Xenopus tropicalis: one gene and its partner. The protein of the gene in region 1 interacts with the protein of each later gene in a pairwise test. Links are inferred from orthologs where the notes say so. Each region holds a gene or a part of one and is shown on either strand. Other genes may lie near its edges.

Region 1 (3,659 bases):
GTTCCTGCAATTGGAGTTGGGAGCAATAAGCACAGTTTCAGCTTTGGTCACTGAGGACTCCTATTGAAGCCCAAAACATAATCTGTATCATTTGTAGCCCAAGTGTTTTAGTTTTCTTTATAATAAAGGCACATGTAGGTGGGTATAGGGGGCAGTAACGTACCTCAGGGTGTCTGTCCAAGTCGCTCAGAACTAATCCGTTCTGCAGGATCAGCTGCCGGGCCTGTGGGAGACACAGATATAATGGAATCCTATTGCTCAAACTATTATTACAGAGAAAAGGGAATCATTTAACCATGAAATAAACCCAATAGGGCTGTTCTGCCCCAATAAGGGGTAATTATATCTTAGTTGGGATCAAGTACAGGTACTGTTTTATTATTACAGAGAAAAGGGAATCATTTAACCATTAAATAAACCCAATAGGGCTGTTCTGCCCCAATAAGGGGTAATTATATCTTAGTTGGGATCAAGTATAGGTACTGTTTTATTATTACAGAGAAAAGGGAATCATTTAACCATGAAATAAACCCAATAGGGCTGTTCTGCCCCAATAAGGGGTAATTATATCTTAGTTGGGATCAAGTACAGGTACTGTTTTATTATTACAGAGAAAAGGGAATCATTTAACCATTAAATAAACCCAATAGGGCTGTTCTGCCCCAATAAGGGGTAATTATATCTTAGTTGGGATCAAGTATAGGTACTGTTTTATTATTACAGAGAAAAGGGAATCATTTAACCATGAAATAAACCCAATAGGGCTGTTCTGCCCCAATAAGGGGTAATTATATCTTAGTTGGGATCAAGTACAGGTACTGTTTTATTATTACAGAGAAAAGGGAATCATTTAACCATTAAATAAACCCAATAGGGCTGTTCTGCCCCCAATAAGGGGTAATTATATCTTAGTTGGGATCAAGTACAGGTACTGTTTTATTATTACAGAGAAAAGGGAATCATTTAACCATTAAATAAACCCAATAGGGCTGTTCTGCCCCAATAAGGGGTAATTATATCTTAGTTGGGATCAAGTATAGGTACTGTTTTATTATTACAGAGAAAAGGGAATCATTTAACCATGAAATAAACCCAATAGGACTGTTCTGCCCCAATAAGGGGTAATTATATCTTAGTTGGGATCAAGTACAGGTACTGTTTTATTATTACAGAGAAAAGGGAATCATTTAACCATTAAATAAACCCAATAGGACTGTTCTGCCCCAATAAGGGGTAATTATATCTTAGTTGGGATCAAGTACAGGTACTGTTATTTACAGTAGCAGTGCCTGAAGCAAGCAGCCCATATCACACAGTGTGGGGTTACAGTACATATCCAGTCATAGAGAACCAGTTCATTTACTGGTATTACTGGACCTGTAAGTCTGACCCACAACATCAGAAGAGAAAAGAGCCTGGTTTATACCACAACTGAAATAAGAATGCGATTCTTGCCTGGAAAGACGTCGGGACACACACGATATTCAGATTTTCCTGCTTCACCCGTTCCGCTGGGAGAGAAAAATAAGAATATTAGCGCAATTATACAGGTAGTACAGAGAATAAGGCTTCATTATTGGATCTTTACAATGACCCGCAATGGTTCTGCCAGTGGGACAATCATGAAGTAATGGGCAGGGACTGCAGGTATGAGTGCAATTATATTGCCGAGGGACTGCTATATTATATATTAGACTTTCAGGTTTATGTAATAAAAGGTATTAAGTTTGCTCAGTAACCCATAGCAACCAATCAGCAGGTAGCATTTACATCTGTTTAAAAGCAAACATCTTATTGGTTGCTATGGATTACTGCTCCTGGGCAAACATGGTGCCTTTTATTACATATGGGGGTTTATATATTATGGGTAGATATATAATACATGCACGTTCAGTCCCATTTTTATATAGACAGGGATTAAAACTGGGTTTTTTATAGGATGAGTAGATTAACCCTATAAATCTTCCAACATTCAGGATGGGCTGATGGGAAATGTAGTTTACTAACAATTGCACAGTTACCCATACAGTTATACTCTGACATTCTGTGTTTCCTACTTTGTAGTTTGGGGGGGGGGCTTTCCCTGAATCAGCACATGTACAGAGCCGCCATGTACAGAGCCAGGTCCAAACAGAATGGGTTTGGCGAGATGGGAGTGGAAGAACTATTATTGGCCTGTTCCTCAACCCAACGGAACCCCCAGTGGGATGAATCAGAACCCCCAGTGGAATGAATCAGAACCCCCCGTGGGATGAATCAGAACCCCCAGTGGGATGAATCAGAACCCCCAGTGGGATGAATCAGAACCCCCCGTGGGATGAATCAGAACCCCCCGTGGGATGAATCAGAACCCCCCGTGGGATGAATCAGAACCCCCCGTGGGATGAATCAGAACCCCCCGTGGGATGAATCAGAACCCCCCGTGGGATGAATCAGAACCCCCCGTGGGATGAATCAGAACCCCCCGTGGGATGAATCAGAACCCCCCGTGGGATGAATCAGAACCCCCCGTGGGATGAATCAGAACCCCCCGTGGGATGAATCAGAACCCCCGTGGGATGAATCAGAACCCCCAGTGGGATGAATCAGAACCCCCAGTGGGATGAATCAGAACCCCCCGTGGGATGAATCAGAACCCCCCGTGGGATGAATCAGAACCCCCCGTGGGATGAATCAGAACCCCCCGTGGGATGAATCAGAACCCCCCGTGGGATGAATCAGAACCCCCAGTGGGATGAATCAGAACCCCCAGTGGGATGAATCAGAACCCCCCGTGGGATGAATCAGAACCCCCAGTGGGATGAATCAGAACCCCCAGTGGGATGAATCAGAACCCCCCGTGGGATGAATCAGAACCCCCCGTGGGAAGAATCAGAACCCCCCGTGGGATGAATCAGAACCCCCCGTGGGATGAATCAGAACCCCCAGTGGGATGAATCAGAACCCCCAGTGGGATGAATCAGAACCCCCCGTGGGATGAATCAGAACCCCCCGTGGGATGAATCAGAACCCCCCGTGGGATGAATCAGAACCCCCCGTGGGATGAATCAGAACCCCCCGTGGGATGAATCAGAACCCCCAGTGGGATGAATCAGAACCCCCCGTGGGAAGAATCAGAACCCCCCGTGGGATGAATCAGAACCCCCTCTGGGATGAATCAGAACCCCCCGTGGGAAGAATCAGAACCCCCCGTGGGATGAATCAGAACCCCCTCTGGGATGAATCAGAACCCCCCGTGGGAAGAATCAGAACCCCCCGTGGGATGAATCAGAACCCCCTCTGGGATGAATCAGAACCCCCTTCTGAGCCCCAGGCCTGATCCTCAACACCAGGGTCCAACCTCTTACATCTGAATGGAAGCAAATCCACCAACAATGTTTCAGCATTTAGTGGAAACCCACCCCAGAAGACATGGGCTGTTCATAGATTGCAAGCTCTTTGGGACAGGGCCCCCATTCCTACCTGTTATAGAAACTCCTAGTACTTCTCTGTATTTATTCTCATTATTTCTCTGTATCTCTATTTGTGTACTGCACACTATGCTATATAAAATATTAACCCTCTGCTTTCCAGGGAATCTGGGCACAACCCACCATCAAAGCCCCCCAGACTCTCGGCCATGTTAACCTCAGTTCATCTCTGCAGCCCAGTGTTGCCAG
Region 2 (3,659 bases), on another chromosome or scaffold:
AGATCATGGACATCCAGTTTTAGCTTTCTGCCTTGTCCCCTGCATAAAGAAATTTCTCTGAAATCTCTGAATCTTTGAATACTATGTACTGTAGATAATGAAATCCCCAAATTTGTATTTTTATGTTGAGGAAATGTGAGGCAGTGTTTCACTGAATGGTGTACCCGACTCCTTTGCTTCTGAGAGACCCAGCCTCTGGGAAGCTCTTTTAAGCAGTAAACAACTTTTTCAGACTTTTGTTGTCCCTGTCCCAACTTTTTTAAAGCATGTTCAAATGAGCATATATAGTTTCAACATTTGATATGTTGTCTTTGTTCTATTTTTAATTTAAAATAGGGTATACATGATTTGCAAATCAGTGCATTCTGTATTTATTTATTTTTTTTACACAGTGCCCCAAATTTTTTGGAAATAGGAATGTACATTGTGTGTATGTATAGTTGCTAATCCTTCTTGGTTTCCTATCTATTTACATAAAGTACTTGCAGTGAAATTGGAAACTTGTAGGGTCAACAGACACTGATTTTTGATCTGTATTAAAAGGGGCATAGATTCATGGGAGGAGTGTGTTATTCTTCCCCTTTACAGAGCGCTGGTAAGGCCCCATCTAGAATATGCTGTTCGGTTGTGGTCTCCAGTGCTCAAACGGGACATTATTGAATTAGAGAGAGTCAACTAAGCTGGTGAAGGGTATGGAATGTATCAGTTATGAAGAAAGACTGGCCAAGCTCGGTTTGTTTACACTGGAGAAGAGGTGACATAATAACTATGTAGAAATATATAAGGGGATCATACTGTATAATAACCTCTCTAATGCTTTATTTACCAGTAGGTCCTTCCAACCGACACAAGGGCACCCACTCCGTTTTGAAGAAGGGAGGTTCCATTTAAATATTCAGAAAGGTTTTTTTTTTTACTGTGAGAGCTGTGAAGTTGTGGAATTCCCTCCCCGAATCAGCCGTACTGGCTGATACATTATATAGCTTTAAGAAGAGGCTGGATGGCTTTTTAGCAAGTGAGGGAATACAGGGTTATGGGAGGTAGCTCTTAGTACAAGTTGATCCAGGGACTGGTCCGATTTCAATCTTGGAGTCAAAAAGGAAGTTTTTCCCCTATGCGGAAAATTAGAGAGGCTTCAGATGGGGTTTTTGCCTTCCTCTGGATCAACTAGCAGTTAGGTAGGTTATATATAGGCAATAAGGTTGAACTTGATGGATGTATGTCTTTTTTCAACCTAACTTACTATGGTACTATAAAATATGAAAAACAATTAGAAAGTTGCTAAGAATTGTCCATTCTATAACTTACTAAAAGTTAATTTGAATGTAACTAAACCCTGGTTTACGTAACACCTGTTGTTCAAATACAACTCACACTACATGAGTCATGTTTTTAAACTGTATGATAATTGTAAATATTAAAACAACAACCCAGCAGTGAACCAATGAACCACAACCATCAAAAGACTTAAGTACTTTTTACTTTAAAAGGTCTTACCATTCTAGAAAAACATGCAGTAAGAATTCCACTTCCAGATCCTACATCAAGAGCTTTGGCACCTTCATGTAACTGATCATGAAGAAGTTCTAGTGCATATGCATGCTAAAGGAAACATAAAAGATTGTAAACCCACTGTGCTTACTTATACTGTACACCCAAAAAGGCATTAGAGGGAAATAATCATCTGTGAATACTATAAGAGATAAAGTAATAATACCAGTAATTTATAACAGAGAAATAAGCATTTGTGCACGAATATAGCAACAAAAATAAGACAATACAATGGTACTTTTAAAATGAAAGCAACAGGATGCAGTATTCTTAAAGGGCACCTATCACCCCTTTAATGTTTTCCACACTCCAGATAGGGAAAACAAGTTTGTTTTTAAAAAAAAAAACAAAAAAAAAACTGACCCTGCCAGCGCTGGGCTACCTGCACCGGGAGACACACCCCGGTGCAGGCAGCCATGTTGGTGCACAAGCATGCAAATAATGACCGAGTGCCGCAACTCGCTCATTATGCTCATGTGTGTGACATGGGAAGGTGACGAATTCATCACTCCTACTTCAGGCGCATGTTCATAATAAGAGAGTTGCTTATTATGCACATGCGCGCCAACCAAGATGGCTGCCCGAACTGGGAGCTTCCACCCAGTGTGGGTAGCCCAGCACTGGCTGAGGGAATATTTCTTTTTAAAAACTATTGTTTTCCCCAACCAGAGTCCGGGCAACATTACAGGTGTAATAGGTGCTTTTAAGTGCTCTGACACACAAGTGTTTGTCACTTTATTAGCAACTCACTGCTTGTCTTTTTTTTTTTTTTTTTTTATAGTGTTTGGGCTTATACAGGGGATATATAAATCACTGGTAACACCAACTGGGCAAACAGATGGCAGGGAGATGTGAATGCCTTCATCTGGGACAGGACTTATGTTCAAACCCAACCAGTACTTTATCTAGCCAGAATCCCAAATGGTAGGTATACCTCTTGTGTCATACACCGCCTGGACCCTTAAAAGACGTGCAGATAGCTGCTGGCTCATGGGCTAATTCTCAGGTAGAGAAGTCCTAAACCTTTTTTCTTATTTAACACAGCATGCTTGAGTGTTCCAAATTATACGTTGAACTCTTCATTAAATAGCTTCCTGGTAAAAAAAAAGTTATCTAATGTGCTATAGATTAAATATGGATTTACTAAACAAAGCTGTCCAATAAAAAGCTTCATATAAGACAAAGAGGAAATTATTATTCATGTAATTGAGTCAGTTAAGGTAACATGTTAATAGCAATAAATGACAGCTACATGATACAAGTTACCATATAAAATTAAAAGAACGTAACACTACATAGAATGTGGTAAAATAAAAAAAATGTTTGAAAAAAGTACCTACAAGCTGTAGAAGACTGTCCTTAGTAGGTCAAAATAAAACCACTGGCTCTCAATTTTAGGTGCAGATTTGGAGTTTAATAAACTACGTTAATGAGCAATAGACTTTGATAGGTCCAGTTCAGTTACAATAATAAACATATGTCTAGATGTTACTGAAATGGTACAATTGTTATGTCTATGCAACTGCATGATGGCCACCATATCTGAAAATAAGACCATAAGGTAAAGGTCTTAATAATCAGAATAAAGGTTCTATATTTAGGTTTTATAAATGTTTCATAACTTTGCAGGAAATTATAAATTAACTGTTTATTGTTTCTTAAAAAGGTATATTTATTACATTATAAGTACACAGATTTACATCTTACATAAATCTTACCATATGTGGTGCACTAATGGTTGCTTGATAACCTGGAAAAAAAAACCACATTATTTTATAATATTACTATAATGGCCCAAAACTATAAAGCACTTTTTTAGGGATGCACCAAATCCCAAATTCAGTTTGGGATTCGGGCCGAATCCAGTCTTTTTTTTTTTTTAACGATTCGGTTTCCGTCGAATCCACGGTCCCTGCCAAAATGAATCCGAATCCTAATTAGCATATGCTAATGAGCATTCAAAAGGGTTAAATAGTAGGGGGGAATAACCTTTCCAGCTCCTAATTAGCATATGCTAATTAGTATTCCGATTATGTTTGGGATTGGGCAGAATCTGCCGGGGTGGGTTTGGTGCATCCCTACTTTTTTTTAAATGAAACCTTTAATTT

Evidence for each region. The genes of interacting proteins can lie anywhere in the genome.
Region 2: the proteins of rpia (region 1) and pcmt1 interact in binary tests that used the Homo sapiens proteins (3 or more experiments, as listed by UniProt). The two-hybrid records come from large-scale screens. The link is inferred for Xenopus tropicalis from reciprocal best matches to the Homo sapiens genes RPIA and PCMT1.

Annotation. Positions count from the first base shown.
Region 1 is NC_030677.2:9,418,734-9,422,392, reverse strand, and holds part of rpia (ribose-5-phosphate isomerase), read right to left. Parts: intron 1,512-3,659; coding exon 1,456-1,511; intron 224-1,455; coding exon 164-223; intron 1-163. UniProt on the Homo sapiens protein: Catalyzes the reversible conversion of ribose-5-phosphate to ribulose 5-phosphate and participates in the first step of the non-oxidative branch of the pentose phosphate pathway.
Region 2 is NC_030681.2:64,029,810-64,033,468, reverse strand, and holds part of pcmt1 (protein-L-isoaspartate(D-aspartate) O-methyltransferase), read right to left. Parts: intron 3,302-3,659; coding exon 3,270-3,301; intron 1,603-3,269; coding exon 1,498-1,602; intron 1-1,497. UniProt on the Homo sapiens protein: Initiates the repair of damaged proteins by catalyzing methyl esterification of L-isoaspartyl and D-aspartyl residues produced by spontaneous isomerization and racemization of L-aspartyl and L-asparaginyl residues in aging peptides and proteins.